3 linked regions of the Arabidopsis thaliana genome follow. The protein of the gene in region 2 interacts with the protein of the main gene of each other region in a pairwise test. Each region holds a gene or a part of one and is shown on either strand. Other genes may lie near its edges. The genes, in order: AT5G24740, SCR and MGP.

The links.
Region 1: the proteins of SCR (region 2) and AT5G24740 interact in a protein complementation assay, tested with the Arabidopsis thaliana proteins (one study listed by BioGRID).
Region 3: the proteins of SCR (region 2) and MGP interact in binary tests that used the Arabidopsis thaliana proteins (3 or more experiments, as listed by UniProt).

The regions. Positions count from the first base shown.
Region 1 is NC_003076.8:8,485,901-8,493,583, forward strand, and holds the start of AT5G24740 (vacuolar protein sorting-associated protein, putative (DUF1162)), read right to left. Parts: upstream 3,968-7,683; 5' UTR 3,804-3,967; coding exon 3,698-3,803; intron 3,597-3,697; coding exon 3,519-3,596; intron 3,438-3,518; coding exon 3,325-3,437; intron 3,241-3,324; coding exon 3,147-3,240; intron 3,067-3,146; coding exon 3,023-3,066; intron 2,845-3,022; coding exon 2,776-2,844; intron 2,474-2,775; coding exon 2,412-2,473; intron 2,124-2,411; exon of another isoform or gene 2,039-2,123; coding exon of another isoform or gene 2,016-2,038; coding exon 1,808-2,015; intron 1,368-1,807; coding exon 1,299-1,367; intron 1,202-1,298; coding exon 1,122-1,201; intron 986-1,121; coding exon 836-985; intron 629-835; coding exon 565-628; intron 1-564. Other genes in the region: AT5G24750 (UDP-Glycosyltransferase superfamily protein), read right to left, coding at 4,921-4,995, 5,180-5,404, 5,715-5,754, 5,868-5,927, 6,012-6,221, 6,369-6,579, 6,976-7,010, 7,289-7,344 and 2 more.
Region 2 is NC_003074.8:20,068,288-20,076,462, reverse strand, and holds SCR (GRAS family transcription factor), read right to left. Parts: upstream 6,477-8,175; 5' UTR 5,914-6,476; coding exon 4,382-5,913; intron 4,268-4,381; coding exon 3,838-4,267; 3' UTR 3,585-3,837; downstream 1-3,584. Other genes in the region: SUA (suppressor of abi3-5), read right to left, coding at 590-743, 891-970, 1,061-1,153, 1,241-1,312, 1,403-2,117, 2,319-2,359, 2,544-2,591; AT3G54210 (Ribosomal protein L17 family protein), read left to right, coding at 8,078-8,175. UniProt on the Arabidopsis thaliana protein: Transcription factor required for quiescent center cells specification and maintenance of surrounding stem cells, and for the asymmetric cell division involved in radial pattern formation in roots.
Region 3 is NC_003070.9:966,923-975,288, reverse strand, and holds MGP (C2H2 and C2HC zinc fingers superfamily protein), read left to right. Parts: upstream 1-4,954; 5' UTR 4,955-5,230; coding exon 5,231-5,381; intron 5,382-5,577; coding exon 5,578-5,974; intron 5,975-6,720; coding exon 6,721-7,693; 3' UTR 7,694-7,819; downstream 7,820-8,366. UniProt on the Arabidopsis thaliana protein: Transcription factor that regulates tissue boundaries and asymmetric cell division. Contributes to the sequestration of 'SHORT-ROOT' to the nucleus. Interacts with the SCR and MGP promoters.

The sequences.
Region 1 (7,683 bases), on a different chromosome or scaffold from region 2:
TATTCCAACAATTTTAAAAGTTCCCTACACTGCTACAGCTACCTATGAAATAAAACAGAATAAACCGTGCTTCTTTAGAGGGAAGCAAGCGCGCCAAGCTAAGAAAAATTCACTACCCGTCTACCTTTTGCATACATACGGAAGCACGTGCTAAGATATAAGATTTTAAAATAATGGCAGCCCGTATTTAAATATGCTTCTAAATCATCTTCTAGTTAATTACGCATTCTTAGAACACAACCAGATGATTAATCACCTCATAATATGCTCCCTGATAGACTTATATGATGTGAAATGTGCTTCTAAACCATCTCCTTACCACTATCCATTCATTTACATTTTGCAGTAGTAGGACAAAACACATCGAAATGAAAAACCACCTCATGAGATGCTCCCTAGTTATGTAAAATCACCTAAAACTAATAAGGCTTCCTATATCTACATAGAATCCAACAGGCTGGGTTAGGCAAGTTCATGCAGTTAAACAAATAGGAGGACACATTGCAACATAATGAACAAACCCTGACACTTCTAATCAGGTAAGGAGGAAAATAAGATCCTTGCCTGTTCTCTGAGAAGGAGATCTAGCTTTATCTTGTAGAAGTTGATATACCTCCTGCGGATTCTCCTGTATTTTTTCGCCGAAACAAAAATCTAAAAGTGAGCAGACCGCTTGAATACATTCCAGGAGTATTTGTCTACTTATGCCATGAAACAGTAAGTTATTTGCGTGGAAGTAAAGTATGCAGAAGTTTTACGAGAAATCAAAATTGTAATAGCTATTAAGCATCATCTAATTAAAAGAAAAGAAATGATGTAAGCAACGTAAACTTACATTCGCTGTTCAAGAAATCTCCATGAAGTTTTCCACAGTTTCTTCCGTACATCAGATAAAACTGAATTTTGGGCATAGTGCCACCAAAGTTTCTGCCATCCAGGTGGTTTCCTCGATAAAGAAGTGGAGCAGGGACGATACCGCCCATACCTATACCATTTAAAAGGTTCTTTAATCAGTAGTTCTTCAAAAAAACGTTCTGTAGTATCCAATAATAGAGCTAAATCTCAGGAGGAAAAAAAGTTTGAATTGAGGAAAAATTATCGCTACCCTAATGAAAGCTTACCTCTCACGCAACTGGCTGGTTTGCAAATAATCTAACAGAATAAGAATCTGCTGCAATTGAAATTCATTCAGAGTCACCACCTAAAACGCATCAGTGCCAATTGGAAGTTAGAGTGAGTCATGAAATGGTAAATAAATCTGAGCTCTGAACCTAGTTTAGCAATTTCTGAGAACTAACCACATCAGTCAACTCAGCGCTGATAGAATACTGAGGAAGATCGTCATAAAGCTCTCCAGATCGATTGACCTATGCAAAGAAGTATATCAGGCAAAATGAAGAATGCCTATTTACATACAGCACAAAAATGCACTCAAGCAATAGCTGATGCATAGACCAATTTACTTTCTGTATAAATATTGTATCATTGATCAGATAGCTGTAAAAATCTTTCACCAAACACAATGTCCATATGGAGCTGATGGTGACATATAAACGAATTGGCAAAAATGTTATGCAAATCCTTTCTGATAACATTGATTGATTAATATGTCATCAAAATTTCGTAGGCCATCAGGTAAATCAAGACTCAGTACGGCAGATATAACATATAAATGTGTACATCTCATTTTTAACATAACCCTAAAGCAAGAGCAAGGATGTAGCACCTTGAAGCAGCAACAAAGATTAGATGATAACAAAAGATGTTAAGAGACAGCAAACCAATGACGCTGTTTTAGATCCATTACCAATAGCGTTACAGAAACATGGACTGGCTTCAGTAAATAACCAAATCTATTGCTTTGCAATCTTGACTGGCACCAATTGTCAAAACCTATTTTTTCATTAACACTTGGAAAGTCCATGTTTCCCTCATACATGTCACAATATATTTCCAAACCTTCAACCTCCACAAGTATATTCACTTGCCCCCCTCTCACCCTACCAACTGATGGCCTGATATTCAACAGAGACATCATGTCAAATATTTCAGGAAGCACATATATCCACCACAGGTCTTGTCTTATCAACAATAATTTAGCTTATGGAAAAAACAGGTTTAAGGAGATTTTACAGTAAGAAAAGAGACAGTTGGAAGAAAGTTATAATGGGGTATCGCCAAACCAATAGAATAAAGCAAAGCTACAAGGAATCAAATACGAAACTAGAATATATATTAAGTGACATAGAAGAAACAAGGCAACTGGAAAGAAATTAATGCGGGGTCTGCTCTCTGCTGTCTCACAATGTAATTCAAAGAACATATCCTTGCCATATATAAAGCAAAGCTCGGAATCAAACACAAAGTGGAGTACATTTAAAAGTGCAAGAGAAGGTGCATAAAGAGATTACCCAACTGAGTTTTGTTTAGTAACTGTCAAGCTTGAAAACCGCAATCCTAATACAACTTGCCCCTGTGACAGCAGTTTAGAGTAAAAACATATGAAAGTGGGAAAGTAGACAACACCAAACGATTATTCAAGTTATATTCTAGTGAATCACAAGAAAGACTGATAGTAGTTTAGCATCACAATGCTCAAATATATTTGACTCTATCTAGATACATATCCTCCATGATAAATGCTATGCTCTCACAAACAAACCAATACTACGATATGATCGATGTATATAAGTTTCAACAATATCAATGGGAGGATAACAAAATACAAGCCTATATTCTAGCAAACTAATTAAACTGAACAAGCAAGAGACTTACCGATTCAGGTTGTGCATCTGAGTATAAGATGTGAAAATTTTTGATGGACACTTGAACGCTATCAAGAATCTAAGCCAAGAAAGAAGGAACGTTAACATAGTAGAAAAAAATAAAATAAATAAGATTGATAACCTCATCCAAAATCAGGAAGATCTACTAAAAACCAGTAACAGATCAATCATAATATGAAAAATGTAAGATGATTAACTAGAGGTAGCAAAAGGAGGATTGCGGAACGTAATGTTACCTTGGCAGTAATATATGACATATAAGAATTTCCGCCTGGATTGTCTGGGAAAAAAAATGAAGGAACTCAACAAATTTTGTATAGGAAAGATAAATTTTGTAGGACAAGAAGTATATTTGCTCACCGAAGACACGCCTGGACAATTTTGCCAGTTCTGCAGAAGCAAGTTTAGCTTTCTTACCAGCAAACTCTCTTTTCTCAACGACATCTGAACTCCACTGCAATGACCAAGCAATATACATATATGGTTTTAGAGGCAAACACTTTCATGTAGAAAAGGGCTACTAAACAAGAGTAATCACCTCTTGATCATTGCGTTGCGATGCACATATAAAGACATCTTCAATCATAATGGTTACAGGATCCCTATGAAGTTTCTTCCATGGAATTTTAATGCTCAATTTCCCAACACGGCCTATATAAACAATAAACGATTTGATCCCGAGAAAACGAAAAAAAGCTGACAGAATCGAAACTTCAATCCACTAACTATCACCTTGCTTGAGAGCAATTGGAAGCTGCAAATACTCAAACGCCTCAGGATTCAATTCCACGTTCTCCAATAAGACTTCTCCTGCAGTTAGAAGCAAGAAATTGTGCGTAAATCATCAAATACAGTGGGAGATTGTGGTGTTCGTTGAAACGGAAAATGGAAAGAGAAGACGGTGAAAATACCATTCCAGAGTGAGATCTTGAGCTGGTCTTTCTGGATGTCTTTAATGTAACGACCTAAGTACCCTAACAACAGGTTCACAAATCCTTGCACATATCCTTCAAGCATCTTTCAATCGCTATTTCATAATCCGGTGATTCAAAACGCGATAACGAATTTTACTCCGTCGGGAGAAGAAGGAAAGAGACGGTGGTCGGAGAAGTGTAAACGAGTCGAGGAATATCGTAGGGTTTTTCTTTCCCGTCGACGAAACAAAGACTTGTCTTCTTTCTTCTTCACAATCACAAGACGAATATTTCTTTCGGTTTCGTACCTTTCAAACCGAACCGGGTCAGACCAAAATTTCCCAATTTTTGCAAATTTGATTACGCTAACCGGCTAATACGCTAATTGGCTCTTATTTAAGGGATTTGAAACTCGCAAATTTTTGGGACTCATGGCTTCGATGTTTGAGGCTCTTGTAGAAGTTTCGGGTTGATTGTGGGTTGATGGGATTGCACTCATGGCTTCGCCATGTCACACGTTAAATGTAAAGGTTAATGGGGATGATGGTTAAGCGAGAGATTCAGTTTTTCTCTTCTTAGTATTTTATTTTGTATTGGAATTTCTCTTACTATTAGTTCCTTGTTAGTTTGATCTGTTTCTTTCCAGTTTGCTAAGATCGTTTAAAAACTTAGTTATGTGGGTATGTTTTACCCATTTTTGTGTGTCTTTTGTTTGTAATTCTCTTTAGGCTTCTCGTAAACTCTCGGGTTTGAGTCTCCCGCTAAACTTTCAGGCTTGTACTAGTTTGTAATGGCTCTATATGATATAATAAAGTTAGCACTCTTTTGACCCACAAAAAAAAAAAAAAATCACAAACTTTTTAAAACATTCAAATCTCTAAAACTGATTTTAGTTAAATGGAAAACAATTATATGATGTCTTATATATTTTAATCCAAAGATAAAGAAATCATAGATGTTTTTTCATTTATAAAATTTCAACTAATAGAAATAAATATTGTACAATTTAAGTAGTCATAAAATGATATAAATTGTACATAGAAACTAGAGAAAACTAATAAAATGGAATAAAAGAGAAAATCCTTAAACGTCTTTTATATTGGGACAGATGGAGACTTGGTAACATTAATAGACGTTAAATTTATGGATGCCAACAATCGGTAGGGCATTGATCACCATCACTTGATATGAGCTTTACGTTGTATATATGACAATGCTCATCAAAATATTCGGTTGCTGCCTGAAACTACACACACCTCTTCTCTAAGCACTCTCACAGCTTCTGTGACTCCATCCTGAAATCATTAATTTTTGGATACCTTAAAACTACCAGTTGCCAGAAATTACTCAAAACTATGAAAGAGAAAAGACTACGCTACATCGAAAAGAAAAGAAAAACTCCATGTGAAGAAAGGATACTTTGATTCTGGGGGCATGGATCAGGAGGAGAAGAATAGTAAACTGATCGTAAATAGTTACCTCAAGAGATAATATTTCAGCAATTTCCATGGCACGAGCCCTAGTCTTTGCAGACAGTGCATCGTATATGGCTTTCGCTACCACTTGTGCAGCTTCCGTGATGTTCTTCTCATCATTTGAGTCCTCTAGAAGCAGGTGGTTTCTTTTCAATGGTTGAGGAGCAACTCCAAGCCAAGACATCTTTTCTGCCCAATAGAACTGATCCAGCATAAATGGGCATATGATCTGTAAAAAGACATATACACACATTATGTGGTCACTTTTTGGCATTACAACTTGAAATGGATAACGCTTTAAGAACGTTAATCATCATTTTGTAACCAAGCAGTGCACAAAACTATGGTTTATGAGCAAAATTACTAGTAAAGTTTTTGGCTGAGTAATCATATAGCAATAAAGTTTATTGAAGGACCATGACATGTTCTTCTGATGTACTGGTTACTGTACAGCTATATTTCTACTGATCCTTCTCGACAAACAATTAGTTTTACCCTTATATATCAAAGATCTAATAAACTAACATACAAACACAAACCTGCGGGATTCCAGCCTGTAATGCTGCAGCAACAGAACCGCTGATTTCCACAGGGGACACAATTCATATAGAAAGACAAGAAAAAATCAGTTCACGTCTATTTATATGTGTGTCCATGCTCACCAAGAAAAGATATCCATGTGACATTTTTACCTGCCACCGTGATGAATCGCTGCAGCGCATGTTCGGAACATCCAGTTGTATGGCACCATACTAATTCAGAGAGACAACGAATTAAGAAAGTTATATGGCCACAGTGTAGATCGCCAACTAAATATTGGGCAAATTGGTGCTCACCCAGAGAAGCAGAAAAGCTTGCCGTTGAAAATAGAGATTCCCGCATGTAACGGTTGTTTCTCACTTGAATCTGATCCATTAGCAATGGTCCTAATTGCTGCATCTAAAGGTCCATAACTAGCTGTGAAAATGATAAATCTGTAACCTGTAATCTGAATAACAGATTGGAGAACTCGAAGAAAGGCTATGGGATCCCTTACAAAGCCCATGCTGCAAAAGCAAAGAGAACAATCACTACCGTACACTAATTCAGCATGCGTTAAATATCTGACAGAATAAGTCTCAGTTTTTTTCTGACGCCAAAGGTGTTGAAAACATAATCAGAAATGATGCAGAGAGATCAACTTAAATTTAGACCTTCCAACAGAACTCAACCCTACAAAGATAGGCAGAGCTGGCTCACAAGACGATATAAATGTATATAACTCAGTGTGGTTTGAGCATGTATGTGAATCGTCTGTACCCAGGCGCCCTGCAAAAGGATTGTCTCCACACTCGTTGCATGAAAACTGCCATTCATTGGGCAGAAACCAAAAGCCGCAGACTCGAACGCTCAATGGCCAGTAATCTGTTAATAAGAAAAAAATGGATGCAGTGAAACGCAGAGAACGAAGCTTTTCCAGGTCAATGACGATTAGACTGAGATTTTATAATGTGTTCTCAAGGCAGAAAAAAAACTGCGAGTCATCTTTAACTGTGAATCTGTTACATTCAATTAGTCTCTACCCTTTCTTAATGGAAAACAGAAATCCTTTCAAATTTGGATCTGTATTAACCTTTTTTTTCTCTGATATAAAGTTCCCATCACATATTTTCTAAAGAATACATAAATGGTAAGAATATAGCTGCAAAATATACCCAAAAGAAAGAAGAATAAAACTACTACCCATATAACTTTTTTGTCAAGAAGATGCTAGCAAAGCACAGAAAAATATTCGGTAGAAGTGAGAAATATCCCACATACCAGGGCATTCAACGATTTCTTTGCTGAAACCATACCTGTCACAGGGAAAATACGTACCAGGTCACCTACAAACATATGCAATCTCATTTGGGTTTTAAATTAATATCAGTATAATATTACCACTAAATTACTAAAAATTTCAAAGTTCTTAAAATTTAATCAGATTTTAGCCAGTGTTGGATATATAAAGTGAGAAAGTACATTAGGCAGATCAAGTAACCAGAAAATACTTAGTATATGAAGATAAAATCGTGATGGCAAAAGAGATTTGCAAAGTGATCAGATTTTACCACCAAGAAAATTCACAACTCACAAGACCAAGGGAGATGGCGGCCGGATATGCCAAATTGGAAGGTCTGTTACTGGATCCTGAATCAAATAAGTAAATCAGGTGACAGTTCACACTATCATTTTTCACAATAAAATGTACATTTCTAGGTCTCTATGTTTAGAAAATACATACTGCAAAAGGGTAACAACTAAGGTTGAGTTCCTCATATCGCCATGATCCCCACTCTTCAGTAAAAAGAGGCCACATCCAATGAGTTACATCACTCCAGCTAACCTGCAAAACACACAGAAAAACGAAAATTTCAGGAGAAAATAATACCAATTGCACGTTTGTATCACAATCATATGGAATACCTTGCCTATGGGGGCTTCTTTCAAGTACTTGTATAAATCTGGTAGCTCCTTTCTAAACTGTCT
Region 2 (8,175 bases):
AAGGGCTACAGATACAATTGTCCACCACAAGATTAAACTATTGATAAAGACTTCACAGAGTTTAAGTAAATAGAAGGAAAGATAAATTAAAAACCCATCAAAAAAGATCAGTTAAAGGGTTTTAGTTGACTTCTTTTTTTATTGACATTTGAAAAATGGAAATTTCTCTATTTCCAAACAAACTATTGTATATGCAAACAAATACATTCTAGCATAGGTATGGACATCAATGTGTCGACATTAAATTAAAATGTTCATTTACCATTACTACCAAAATATGTATGCCACCCTAGTCTCAAACAAAGTGTCAATTGATGATACATATTCGTCACCAAAAGGAACTGCAAATAATCTCTAAGGAGCAAAAAACAGATATATTCTGAAAGTTTTATCGGTTCTATTTTTTTTAAGGTATTGTCGTCACCAAATCATGAGTAGTTATCACTTTGTTTGAGACTCTAGAATCACCAAACAATGAGTAGTTCTTCCGGTAATTAAATATATGTAATTTCTGTTCTTAACAGATGGGTTTATACTCTAGTCCTGACAATGAAATTTACAGAACTTTCATCCAAAACAATGCACCAACCTGAAAGCAAGAGGTTCGCCGCGCAAAATTGATACAGCCACAGATTGTACAGATCCAATCTGTGGGAACTATCATGTTTCGACTTCCACCATAACTGCGTCTAGAAGCATGTTCCTGCCTACGGGACACACCAGCCCTACCAGTAGGTTGGCTGCTACAACACACGCAATTTAGTGTAAGAATGTTATACTCTGATACTGAAACGGTCAAGAAACAATAATTTAAATGTGTAGTAATTCTATGATCCCTCCATAGGTAATATCTAAATCAATCAAAGTCTTATGTTTATTTAAAAAAAGACCTGTAATGGAACATAAGTTTCCTTCCATCCAAAACTATACCATCATGCTCAATTCTATCCATCATGGTGCGTGCGGCATCCTGCTCAGACAAAATACATAAATGCACACAGTGTTGAAGAAATCACAAGAAAAAGCGCAAGGAATTAACAGATTAGTTGAAAGCAAATACCACCGTGGGGAAATCAATAAAAGCAAATCCACGAGAAATCCCAGAATTTTGCTCCCGAATAACACGAACATGATGCAAAGGACCCCATTCAGCCTAGCATGCACATGGGAATAATGAAGTCATGCATGAAAAATTGTTTAAACCTGAGGACATACAGATTCAAAAAAATGAAGAGTTTACCAGAATCTGGTATAGATCTTCTTCTGTTGATTTCATAGAGAGACCCTTCACAACAACAGTGGCGGATGGGGTCTAGCAAAAACCATAAAAATATAGGAACGGATTTTTTAAATGTCTTCGCAACAAAAGAATATAGACCAGGGATGAGAGAATATTTTATACAGCAGAAAAATGATCCTGGTTATGTCTATCTTCATATTCTCTTCGCCTCTCACTTTCATTCCAGTGATCCCCCTCATAGCTGTCCTCCCGGTAACTCCGCCCATGGCTCCGACCTCTAGGAGATCTTGATCTAGAGAACTCCCCACGTCCGGTAGATCGAGATCGTGACTTCTCATATCTCTTATGAGGACTCTCATCTCTTTCGCGGCTGTAACATCTTTTGTCCCACTCCCTATCACGTGAATCCCATTCTCTATCTCGAGAATTCCGTTCTCTGTCCTGCGGATCACGGCTCTTTCGACTGCCATCTCTCACACTGGCCCTTTCATACTCAGAATCATAACTTCGGCGAGTATAATCATAATCTTTTTCACGACCATCATCTCTGCTATGATGGTAATTTTTCGATCTATAGTTGTTATCATTACAAGAATAGTCATCGCAGCCATCATATCTGGACGACCTTTCGTGTTCATGATCACGGTAATGTCCATTACGACTCCCAGCTTCACTATCATGATAATAGTCAGCAGCATAATTTGAATCGATGTAAGGCTTTTCTTGCCTGCGAAGTTCACTGGGATAATTTTCTTCATAGTTTCGCTTTCTAGATTGAGGCAAGTCACCCAGAGTATTATGTCCAGGTGGATAGTTGTAGACATCATCCCGCATCAACCTTTCATCAGGATATCCGTCATCATATGATACGCCAAACCTGTAAGAGCAATGTAGTATAGGTACAGAAAAGATATTAAAAAAATGAAATATGAACTATCATGAATATTTCGGCACAAGTAACCAAACCAAATAAAGTACAAGAAATACAATTTAGTTACAGTAGCTAAAATAAATATACCCCCATGAGCAATAACAAATTAACAACTACATCAATGTAATCCATTTTACTAGCACTCACCGATGATTTGGATCATGCTGAGTACCATAACCCTCCGGAGCCTGTGAATTGAAGAGAATAAGCTATGTCAGCAACAAACATCATTGACGGATATTACATTAGCCAAATCCCATCCACATCCTCACTCTCCCAAGTCTCTCACTCCACGGATGAGTTGAGATTCATAACATCCCTAAAAATATCTTGTTTATCATCCCATATATGTAAGGAGAAAACCACAATTACACTGTTATTATCCCATTCTTGCTGACGACCATATCGACTAGGATCCATTTCCGGCCAGTGCACCAAGCAAATCTTTGATGGTCTGAGAGAATATTCAAAGCTTAATATTTAAAGCTCTTTCCTGAAAATCACGTATAGAGTCTGAGACAGGTATATCTTAATGCATATATAATTAAGAATTCCCAACACTGATCACAAAGAGACTTTGTAGGAACTAGCTAGAGATTCTCTCACTCTCAGAGTAGAAAAACATGCATTGGCGATGAAGTAACAAAAGCACGAGAAGAATGCATACAACAGTAGAGATCATTATATTTTCAGCTGACGATTAGGCCTAAATTCTCAGTAATCGAGTCTTAAAAGCTATACAAAGTAACATACAAAAAACTTGAACTGGTCACATCCACGAAATCCTCAATAAAAAAGAAACAGGTAAAAATGAGAATACCTGTGATGAACTGAAAGCAGCACAACGACGCCGGACCAAAGACACCAGTGAATGGAAGATGAAGATGAGCTGTGATAACAGCGGAACAAAGACTTGGAATAAGAGATTGATTAATAGATAGAGCGCAAAATCAGGGAGCCGATAACCAGAGGTCAGAGAAACAAGCCTGAAACCGGTGACAAATCAGATACGCTGCGATCGATACAGAAACGAGAGAGCTCGAGCGATGAAGTAGCCGTATAAATCGGAATGGTTTCTACCGTGGGAACTCAAATTGAAAATATTCAACAGCGATCGATGAATTACAAGAGAAATGAATTCAGAGCTCCACGGTGGTGGACTTGGCCGAATCCAACTTTAACCAGATTAGGGTTTCGTTGTTGTTCAAGCGAAATATGAAAAGGCGTAGATGAGTTTTTTTTTTTTTAATTGAAAAATCCAAACATCTCAATTTCTTTGCCATAACAAAAATAAAAAACAACATGTATATATTTTTTTTTTGGAAAAAAGTAAACCAAAACAATTCAAGTTGCTAAAAAAAAAATACATAACAATTCCCAAAAAAAAAAATGGTAGCCTTCAAAAGAATTGTGTATTTGTAAATGATTTTTCAGTTAAACGTGTTATCATTTTTATTATTGATGTACCATTTTCAAGTGTTTTCTTCAATATCAAGTGTTCTAATCTTCATGATTAACTTCTATGTATTCCACCAATCAGGTAGCCAATACAGAGTGTGAGTGAGAACAATTTGACTTCAAAAAATCCTCTCTTTTTGATACATAACAAAAAAAAAACAGGTAAATCTATTTATGGGCACATTGTTTGTGAAAAAGGAGAAGAAAACTAAGAACGAGGCGTCCAAGCTGAAGCAGTGAGTAACGAAAGATCTTTCCATCCAAGCTTAAGTGTACCATTATCATCAACCAAAGTGTAACCATCCGAAGGAAACATTCCCAACAGTAGAGTCGCTTGTGTAGCTGCATTTCCAGCTAAAGATATACCTTTAAACCCACATTGTTGCATTTTCTCCCTCCAGCTCTCAAACTTCACTTCACCGCTTCTCGATGGTCCTCCAACCGCTAATACATTCCGTATCTCTTTCGATAATAGCTGCTGTTCCACGACATGTCTCTCTTCACTCTCTTCGCCGTAGCTTGCTCCCAGTGAGTCAAAGAGTGCAGAGTAGTAATGTATTGCTTCTACAAATCTTCCTAAGAAAGAACCAGCGTGGCTCAAATCTTGTTCCACTACTGTCACAACTTTAGGAGCTAATCTGTTCATTCCCCAATCATTAACCAAAAAAGCCACTTTTTAGAACATATCTTTCCTATATAATCTTAAAATAATTTATAGATAAAGAGTGATTAAAAGGTAATGTTTATTTTACCTTTGGAGTAACCAGAGAGTGTGTGCATCAGAGCCAGTGACATCATAAAGAGAATGTTGAAGCCAGTGAACAGCCACAGCTTCCCTTTTCCTCACATTGAGTCTCTCAGTGTCCAAGTTTCCAACTTTCTCAGCTAAAGGGCAGAACTCAAAAGGCAGGCCAAGCTTATCTGCGAAATCCGAAAGACGTTTCCCTGTAGCCTGAAGAGCTTCCATGGAAGTACCAAGTCCCGTGAGTCGCACGTGTGGAGGTCCTCCAGGTCTAGAAGCAAGAATGTGGAATAAACCAGGCCATTGAAGTCCCTGCATGATGTCCAAGTCAATGATGTGTACACTGTCTTCTTTCTCAAATGCTTCTTGAATCGCCTGATTCGCTGTAAAGTGTGAGAATTTCACTAAAGGGCTTATCCCATTAAAGACCTGAAACGCAGAGACCATTTTCAAGCTATGCGTTTGAGGCATCCACCGTGAAGGCAAAGCCGCGTAAATTCCGAGACACGAGTTGAGTAATCTCGCTGACATAGCTTCCGAGAAGTAAGCAGCTACTCTCTGCGCTGAGGTCCCGTAAGGAGTTGATAACTGAGAGATCTCAAGAAGAAGCTTGTTTGCTTCTTCGAGATTATCAGCAGAGACAGCTTCAGCACACTGTAGCAGCAATGTGAGAAGGTGTAATCCTTCTTCGTCTTGCTTCTGCCTCTTAATCTCTTCCTTCCTCTCTCTTAAAGCCTCCGCCGTATTTGTTTGGACGGCGGGAACAGTGGCCGTCACTGTCTCTGGTTGCGGTGGTGCATCGGTAGAAGAATTTTCTCTTTCTTGCTGCTGAATCGGAGGAGGAGGAGGCTTATGCTGTTGTTGTTGTTGTTGGTGCTGCTGTTGCTGTTGTGGAGGAGAAGGATTGTTGGAGATCTGATAGAGAGGTTCGAAAGTTTGAGGAGAAGGGTCAGAGGAAGAGGAAGGATCAAGGAGCATGAGAGATCGGAGCCTGTATTCAAGAAGAGCACCGAGATTTGGGTTACAAGGGAAGATAATGTCTCTAACGTTTTGGATAAGTTGAGGAATAGAGACTGAAGTTGAGGAATGGATAAGGTCTCTGATAATGGCGTCAACCCATACAGTAGGTGAAGCAGAAGAAGATGAAGAGTCTTGATCCATTGGTTGTACGGACATCATAACATTCCGACCACCACGGTCTGAAGGAAAAACGGGAAGACCAGAGAAGCCACAAACAGAGAGTGGTGGGTTTGGTTGAGAAGATACAGTAGCCGCCGCCGTAAGAGACGGTGGTTGTTGTGGTGTGACAGTATTGTAGTTGGAGTCAAGAAGGTGAGAGACACGGCGAGGAGGACGAGAGGAGTTGTTGTAGTCAGGGTTAGAAGACATCTCGGAAGCTAATCTTTTTCTCACCATCACTAAAGGAGGAGGAGGAGGAGGAGGAGGACCACGGTTGTTGCTGCTGCTACTACCGGAAGAAGTTGTTCTCAGAGGACTATGAGGAGGAGGTTGACCACCGTTGAAATCGCCGGATTCCGCCATGGAGATTGAAGGGTTGTTGGTCGTGAGATTGCATGGTTATAAATAAGGTAAGAAAAGGGTTAAATCCAAAATCGAAAATTTCCAAACAGAAAAAGGTTTGGTAGTAGAAAAGCTAGACTCTTTTATCAATGGTGGGATTCTTAAATTACTTGATCGTCTTCACGATCTCCGATGAGGAGAAAAAGCAAAAACTCAGTGAGGGGGTGAGAATTTGGAAGGATGTGGGTTGGAGATGAATCCCGGAAAAAGGGGTTAGGGGTAATTGAGGAGGACGAGGAGGACAGTGAAGCCTGGCCGTATCTAAGTCGTCTTCCACCTTTCGAATTATTGTGAATGTCGCTTCGTACATTTAATGACTCTTTCTATCTCTATTCATCTTAACTCTTTCTCTCTCTGTTTCTGTTTTTTTCTTCTTAATTAATTTGAGTTTTGAAAAATAATAAAAATGGGAAGAGATTAGGTGGGTGATCGGAAAATGTTCGTCGTTGTGTGTTTGACGTCTTCCGTTTGCCGATCCATTTCGTTTCTTCTTGACCTCTCTCTCGAACTAACCACAAGAAGATAATATTTTGTTTGTTTGGTCTATAATAATAGAGCTCTATTTCGTGGAACCGGTACAATATATAACAAAATTTCAGAATATTATGATGTATGACAAAGTTAATAAATTATGGAATATCAAAATTGTTGAATAATGAAAAAGATGATCTTGCTAATTACAAAATTGAGTAGTAAATGATGTAAATAAAATGTCAGATTCAGTTCATTATGTGAAATGAATGGGTTTCTATTCTATAGAGCTACATGAGTTGGATTCATAAACCGATTTATTAGTTATGGTCATATGGAGTCAGCAGGTTGCACCACTAGTCATTTGATTTAGGTTTGGTATGAGAGATGGGATGAAGAAGTCTCTCACACAATCAAAGTGTGGTACGATGTGCTTACTAAGATGGGGCACCAACTTGCAATTTTGTGCTAAAATTAGAAAGATGGTATTCCTTAAACCGTACTAATCTAAAGAGAGGAGAAAAATAAAGGAATCCAAGTAAAGATTTAGACAAAACAAGGATAAGAAAAGGGAAAAAGCATTAGTCCCCTTGTATATTAGTATCATATTAAAGGCATTTTACTTGAGAGGAATTGGACAAGACGTAGAGCTAAAACAGTAAATAACAAAAAAGGAAAAAGATGCACATGTTTTGATGAGAGGCCATTACATACATACACCAACTGTCAAACCCCAGTTCCCGATAAAATCTGAAACTAGTGTTTGACATTTTGCTTTCATCTGCATCCTCATCTTTTCCCTTTTGTTCTTTTTTTAACAATTTTTAGAAAATTTGCTATTATTATATTATTTTTCTTACAAAGTTTTGGACCTGTTTGACTGACAATTTTTAGACTTTTGTACGTCAAACACTAGCCCCATGGCCAATTTAATAATCGCATGGCAGTGAACCCAAGAAGAAACCATCCACGCTTTCTACGATCTTATTTTTTCTTCTCCTTTTTCACTTCAAATTATTTTTTATTACTTCTCTTCACAACACAAACACACGGCTCAATATGAAAGTTTCTCAGCGTAAAAAGCTGAATGTCTTTCTCCAAGTCCATATTTGAATAGTCTTTTCTGCCCTTTTAGACTTAATTTGTTAATTTTTGAGTGATCTTAACGAATACCATGTACTATTATACACAAAAAATGTGAAATGTATTTTACTACATAGTTTTTTTTAATACTCTTTATCTTCAATTTAACTGATATTAAGGATTTTCCCAAAATTTATCCAATTTTAAGAAAGTATATAAAATATTTTAATATATCTTAGAACACCATTTATTAACATCAAAGTCTCTATAATAGAAATGCTCATTAAAACCAAAATAAAAATGAAATGTTTGTAAATCACAAATGCACTTAAACAATATCTAGCAATAGCATACATTATAAAATAATTCTAACATTACATAGCCCAAATGCAAATATCTGTTTGGCAACAAAAACCTTAAAAAGTCTCTTGTTGGCAAAGCGCTACAGAGTTACAGTTTATAGGCCCATTAAGGCCCATCAAAAGGTTTCTGATAAACAAAGTCCTCTTCCTCTATCCCTTATCCATTCAACACCAGCAAAATCCGCTTTGTTGCAGAGGATCACAATCTAATGGCGATTCCAATGTCCATGGCAATGGCGACTCCTACAGATTCCGTGAGCAGAGTCTGGAGTATGTCTTCTCTCAAATCAGCTCTTCCCTCCACCGC
Region 3 (8,366 bases), on a different chromosome or scaffold from region 2:
GAATTCAAATTCTATGTTATTAAAACAATAATAAAAAACAAAAAATCTTCAAAGATATAGGCAGATTCTGTCGAATCATAATCATAAAATAATACAAATGCATATATTGGATAGGTGTGAGTGGTGATAAGAAAACAATACTAATGTATTTTATAAGAAATTAAGTTTGAAGAAACCATACAAGTGACTGTGACATATTTGATGAGGCCAACAGTCAATCATGAAGCCAATAACATTTTTTTATTACTATATTATATTGCGAAAAAAACAACTTTAAGTAATTATCACCAACTTTTTCTAACATGCTTTTTGCGAGCCCGAATGCATCAACGAACCATTATGGATGAAGGTGGACCAGATTTGACCGTTTGGTAGCAATTTCGATATTTTAACTAGCCTATTCAAATCTCTAACCATATACTATACGTAACATGAAAAATGCCATGTCCTGATCACCATCCAATGATTAGCCGTCAAATAATTCAAGAAAAACCATGGAAAATATATTTATTTTTATATATTTTTGTGAAGAAGATTTGTGAACTTGTAATTTAACTTTCTGAGCTGTATAAGTTATCCTCCATATATATATATATATATATAATTTTAAATATCTTGATAAATTTAAAATTATTTTTTTGATATTAAACGTATCCATATATATATATATATATATTTCATGGATACGTTTAATATCAAAAAAATAATTTTAAATTTATCAAGATATTTATGTACGAAGCAAAGTTCAAATATTTCAAAACAATAAATTTATCTTTTATAACAAAAAAACAATAAATTTAGCTGACCAAATATATGTTACGTTTTGCATCCACCATCATGAAGCACATAGTTAAATCACAAAAATTTATGATTATATCATTTGATACCGTGATTCACGAGAGTCATATACACCTTCGATCACTCTCAACCGGACGGCAAAATTTGTGGTCATACACGTGATTATATATATTAGAAGAAAAAAATGAAAGAATTTTCTTTTGTTAATTGTAATTGCATATTCCGTATTAACTTTTCTCTGAAGTTAGACAAGCCATTACCATCAGATTTAAAGCAATTGATCGTTTGAAACAAATAGTGGCGCCAGTGCTAAAACTAATAAATACATTGAGACTCGAAGCCCAGACTTGGTTAACTCATATATACGCAGATATATACGTTGAATAAATAACTATGATGGACAAATTTTAGTGAATTGTGTAAGATTATACATATTGTAACTGTTGAAGTTTGGTTTGCACTATAGGTGTATAGATAATTGACATTGAAGATTCATATACAGAGACAGTGACCATTTCACTTAACTACCACTTTTCTTTTTTCTCTCCATTAAAATGGAGTAATTAACTACCACTTGATCCTATGTTTAGGTATTACTCTCTTTTTCTCGCTTTGCACTCATGAATAGTTTCTATCAACTTTGTGGAAAATGGTTGGAAAGCTTGACTTTATCTTTTAATTACTTTAGGACCCATTAAAAAGGAATCTTTTAAATATCCCTTTTTTATTAAAGATTTTCACATATAATTGCATGAAACGTAACCTTTTTTTTTATTCGGGTAATAAGAACGTAACCATTTTGTTTATTGGTTCCATAAGCTTGTCAATCTATGAGTATGAGTTTCTCTTATCTGTAAAAAAAGTATACACATGCACTCGTATTTCTAATTTCCTAGCAATTGGAGACGATAAACCCTTTAAAAATAAAAAGCAATTGGAGACGATATATGATGATAAATATGTGAACTATTAAAAAAAAAAAAACTAAATATCAATTTGAAGTTTTGATCACAAATAAAATTTAATACAAAAATTTCCAATTACAATCATGAAATTGCTTTACAAAAAATTTCTATCATTTAAATATATATTAATTGTATCTGTGTTATAAGTAACAATGCATTCCAAGAGTTTAAAATAGAACGGAAAAGGTAAGGTGGTTGGAAAAAAAATCAATAAAAGATATAGAGTGATTTTGATTAGTAGAATGTCGATATCAATTTGACCGAAATTTATTGGATTGGTCAAGTCCGAGTAAAACAAGAAGGCCATTATCATCCACTAAGTGACATATGTATACTTTAAGTCTAATCATATCTCCATTATATTCTTATTTGTATTTCATATATCGCCAAGTTTCTATGCTATGGTATGGATCTAACCTTTGTCTTCTTTGAAATGTCGTTTATTGCATTTTATTTTTTATAGGCATACGTTTAATACAGTATATATATATATATATATATATATATATATAATTGTATACACATTTATTCATGGCTTAGTTTGTACTTTTTATTTTATTTTCCCAAGAATACGTATAGATGGATTCTAGCTAATGTTGTTTTATGTGAATCCATTTTAATACTTTTTGGCCTATGCTAATATTATTCTACATCTACATATGACCACATGAATCTTTGCGTTATAAATATGTGGATGCATCTAGTATATGCACACAAGCTTATGCTGGTGATAATTTTTAACGCAAGTTGCTTACTTGTTGGAATAAAACATTGGTGTAGATCAGTTGAAAATTTGATTAATTAACGTTTGCAGCAGACTAGCTAATCCGTTCTTACACTAATACCATTCAAAAATTAAAATAATAATGGGGTAATATGTGAGTTTCCCCTACACTATCGTGGGTATATATGTAATATATATAGTATATTTTCTACCAAAAAAAAATATATATATATAGTATATTGCGCATTTTATGAACCAAAAGCCTGTGGTATATCTGTAATGTACCCTCTGGATCTAAATCTGTCTTATCAATGTTATTCTCTTTGAGTTTACAATAAAGGAAATGTAGAAAATAACCGAGTAAGTAGTTTAGGTCCGGCAAGAAAAAAAAATGCTCCAATAGTTTTATATATGATGTTGAAATTGATATAGCCAGCTAAATTAAAAATAATTCATATGTATTTAAACTCATGAACTATGTTTAAATATATAAACGACGACCATGGAAACATATGTAAATGTAGACAAAGAATTATTCTTGACTAAATTTGAACTTTTTTATTTGTGTTGATGCGTTATATCTCCACTATCATCATTGTTCACAAATTTTTTTTGAACTATACTCAATTTACAATTATATTGTACAGATTCAAATCAGCATTTCTTTAGAAACTTGAAACATAGGATTTACTATTCGAACTTTATTTAAATATGAGCGGGATAGACCAAATTCAAATAGATAATTATCGTGTAAATTCATTTGTACGTAGGAGCTCTACATAACAAAAAAATTGACATATTTTTGTTTTTGGATACACTCATATGAACGCATCTCTTTATACTTTACAGTAACAAAAAAAAATCCCAGTTTCCCATTTGTGTAAATGCCCATCTGTATATAAATCTTGATTATATAAAGGGAACAATAATATACTATAACAACGTCTCGAAAAATAAGGGAATATTCTTGTGCCGCCAAAGTTCAAGAAGAAAAATCCAAAACTAAAACACTAAACTAATGTTATTATTTTATAGGAATCTTAAAACATGATTACATTATGATTAAAGTGTAAATTACCTAAAGAATTGGTAATTAAGTCAGCCCACAAGCTGACGACTTCTCTTCCTTCCAAAAATTCACCTGCATTTTGTCAGTTCTCTGTCTCTTCGTACTTTCGATTAATTAACTAACCATAATTATCTTACTTTCAGCTAGGGGTAAATAAAAAAGCACATTTAGTTTACTTTTCTTTGAAAATCGATATGATCGAGATTTTGATATGGTCGAATTGTTTACCGTTTTTTTTCATCTACAATATTATTTTATATATAGGATTTTATCCAAATTATAACACGATAATAATAATAGACTAGTTTATACAACTCCGATACATATGCTCAGTCTTAGGATAATAAACTACAAAATAAATTTTCAATTAAAATTTTGGTATGAGTTTATAATAGTTATGATCTCCGAGAGAAAATTTACTAGCTTGCACATATATAGTAGGTTAGAATTACTTTTTTGGTTCAATCTTTTTTTTTTTAATGGGATTTCGAGTTCTGATCTTTTTTAAAAATAAGTTAAGATTCTATTTTTTTTTAAAAAAATACGTTAGAAAATACTTTCATTTGTAGGGCGAGAAAAAGTTTGCTAAAGAAAAAGACGAATAGGGAGCATTGCAAAAAGATCTTTGTAAGAAAAAGCATGAACAAGATACTCGTACGTATCTACTAACTTCTCTTATACTCAATTCCACAAACATGAATTTTTTCACAATTATTAATATCGAAATTAGCAATTTTTTTGTTTTTGTCAAAGGAAAATTAACAATTTTTTGAAGGAAAATCGAATATCAAAACGAAAATTTGAAGTGGGGTACTTGACGGGAAGAGTTCGCATGGTTTTCGTTTTCACTGTCGACCGGACGATTATTCTCTTTTGCATATTTAGGTTTTTAATTTCGTTGTCGTATGTTGTTGGATTTTACCTCACGAGCACGTGCATGGGTACACGTGCATTGCAGGCTTTGTTCTCAACAATAAACGAGAGATGTGACCTGCGCCGTTGGATCTGTTTACTTCTTTGACCGCCTCAATTTACGGTCAAATTAAAATCTCAAATTATATACACCATGACTGTGCTTTATATACGACTTTCTACTAAAAATAACATTAAGAGAAACTATAAGGAGAAGAACAATTAAAGAAGTTAATTTTACCTGAGGATGATGAAAAAAAGAACGGAGAAAAGAAATAATGAGATCATCATTCCAAATAGAAAAAGGCAGACATAGAAACTTTTGTGTGTGTCATGACGCACTGCCACTGAAAAACCAAATAATCAAATATTTCCAGATAAATATAGTTAATTTCCACCGCCATTAACTTTTAACTGCGAAATATAAATAAAATGGGAAAAATATATGAAAGTTTAATAATTTATGACAATAGCTGCGACAGTTCTTACAGATCAAGGTGCTTATATTTTTTTGTTTGAAAGAAAGAGGAATATTATTTTTTAGTACACATATGGGGCTTAAGTGTGTAGGGTGTATATATAAAGTGATCACCCAATATAACTTATCTTTTGTGTTTGCCTCTCATTCATAACTACATCAGATTCTAAGTATTTCTATTTATTTTCTCTTCATTACCTTTGCTCATCCTCCATCTCTTATTTAAAACTTAATTAATTACCTTTTCAATCTCTTCCAACAAAACTTTTGTCCAAGAAGAAGACATGACAACTGAAGATCAGACAATTTCAAGTAGTGGAGGATATGTCCAAAGCTCATCAACAACTGATCATGTTGATCATCATCATCATGATCAACATGAATCCCTCAATCCTCCTCTTGTCAAGAAGAAGAGAAACCTCCCTGGAAATCCTGGTAACAATTAATTAAGTTTAATAGAGATCACAAAATAATTCAACCCTAATCAACATTTTTTTTTCTGTTTGCTGAAAAGTCATGTTCTTTTTTTTTTCGATCTTGATCTACAAACATGCATGCTTTCTACTGTTTAGATCTTTCACATGATCAAATATGTATCCAGAATTTGATTGTTATATTTCGTTCTCTATAGATCCAGAAGCTGAGGTCATAGCTCTATCTCCAAAGACACTTATGGCCACAAATCGTTTCCTCTGCGAGATATGTGGAAAAGGGTTTCAAAGAGACCAGAATCTACAGCTTCACCGTCGAGGACACAACCTCCCATGGAAGCTAAAGCAGAGGACGAGCAAAGAAGTAAGGAAACGAGTGTATGTATGTCCAGAAAAGAGTTGCGTCCACCACCATCCGACGAGGGCACTTGGTGATCTTACCGGCATTAAGAAACATTTTTGTCGGAAACATGGCGAGAAAAAGTGGAAGTGTGAGAAATGCGCCAAGAGATATGCAGTCCAATCTGACTGGAAGGCTCATTCCAAGACTTGTGGGACTAGAGAATATAGATGCGACTGTGGTACAATTTTCTCCAGGTACTTAGTGTATATCTACACACGTACGTACTAATAGATGATCTTTACATTTCCTCATCACGGTATCATATATTTTTAGTGGCGTAACAAATATTTTGATCACCTAGCTGTAAGCGCATATCATGTTTAATTGCATTATATATAGATTCAAATATGATTTTAACTTCTTAACCAGTAAAGTTAATCATGTTTGAATATATTAGAATATAGGAAGAATATATATATACTTATATACATATCTTAAAACTCATACTAAACCTAGCTAGAGCTTATATTTTACCGGGTGAATACTATGATGAAAAACAAAAAAAAAACGAATCTGTTACCTCAACTAACACTACTGTACCACTGGACCACACAAACAAATTTCGTTTTACCACGTTGTTTGTAAGTAAATAAGATTTTTTTTTTTTTTTTTGTGAAACAATTTGTAAGTAAATAAGATACATGTTTTTTGTTGGAAGTAGTAGCTCATGTAGGGTCTAAAACAAAATAATTTGGAGTTACTTTTGTATAGATATTGCCATATTGGTCATTCTCTGAGCATACGTGCTGCTTGATTTCTTGAATAAGACAGTTTCTTGGATTGACATATTTTGGTTAAAGTAAGATATACAACTTTATTTATCTTTTTTTCCTTAATTGCTATCTATATTACTATATACATACATATTAAACACAAGCATAAATTAGCGAGTGTGTATAGACGATATTGATCTTATTGGTGTGTATAATTTGGTCAACAGGAGAGACAGCTTCATTACACATAGAGCGTTCTGTGACGCTTTAGCAGAAGAAACCGCTAGGCTAAACGCAGCCTCGCATCTCAAAAGCTTTGCCGCAACCGCTGGTAGTAATCTAAACTATCATTATCTCATGGGGACACTTATCCCATCACCATCACTACCACAACCACCGTCGTTTCCGTTCGGACCACCGCAACCGCAACATCATCACCACCACCAATTCCCAATCACAACCAACAACTTCGATCATCAAGACGTCATGAAACCAGCGTCTACGCTCTCTTTATGGTCGGGAGGAAATATTAATCATCATCAGCAAGTGACCATCGAGGACCGTATGGCGCCGCAGCCGCATTCACCGCAAGAGGATTACAATTGGGTTTTCGGAAACGCGAATAATCACGGCGAGTTAATAACGACGAGCGATTCACTCATTACTCATGACAATAATATTAATATCGTCCAGAGTAAGGAAAACGCTAACGGGGCAACTTCTCTTTCCGTGCCTTCTCTTTTTAGCAGCGTTGACCAAATTACCCAAGACGCAAACGCTGCTTCTGTGGCTGTTGCAAATATGTCGGCGACTGCGTTACTCCAAAAAGCTGCTCAGATGGGAGCGACTTCTTCTACGTCACCAACGACGACGATTACTACCGACCAATCAGCGTATCTTCAGAGTTTTGCATCGAAGAGTAATCAGATTGTAGAAGATGGTGGCAGCGACAGGTTCTTTGCTTCGTTTGGATCGAACAGTGTCGAGTTAATGAGTAATAATAATAACGGTCTTCACGAGATCGGGAACCCTAGAAACGGCGTTACGGTCGTTTCGGGGATGGGTGAATTACAGAATTACCCTTGGAAGCGTAGAAGAGTTGATATTGGGAATGCGGGAGGAGGAGGGCAAACTCGGGATTTTCTTGGGGTTGGTGTACAAACAATATGCCATTCTTCCTCTATCAATGGATGGATTTGAAACACTCTTTAATGGATTTTTCTACCTTATTTATGAGTGAACTTAATTATCAAAGCTGATTTCTTTAATTAATTTTAAAAATGATTTATTTCACCAGACCAAAATCATAAATTAATTTTACGATCGATTGTGGTTATTAGATTTATCGTATCTTCTCAAATTCAAAATGATCACCTACGTCTCAAAATTTACTCTTCCATCAGATTTTTGCTAAATTTAGGTCAACTAGTCTATACTTGTAGTACTCTTCTTATTTTATTTTTTCAATTTATAGACTACACTAGACACAAGTATAATGTAGTGTGATTCACATATTGGTATTATTATATGAGCATTTTCGTTGAAGAATTTTTTTTTTTTTTTCGTTGAAGAAAAGTTAAGATTCATTCATATTCACTATGTGTAGAAAGGTGTTTGATATGCTTTTTTAAAAATAAATAAGTACTTAATCAATTGTATGTATTTTGTATATATGCCATAGAAAAAGTGTGGATCGAGAAGTGGTGGGCACACAAGAAAAACATGAAGGCTTTTGAGCTCAATAATTCTAAACTTAACTTGCAGGGCAATTCATAGTGGAGGAAAACATTAAGAAATGAAAAATGAAGAGAGATAGAAAAATAAAAGAGAAAAGATTTTCTTTAAAGAATAGCTAATAATAATTCTCACCAAA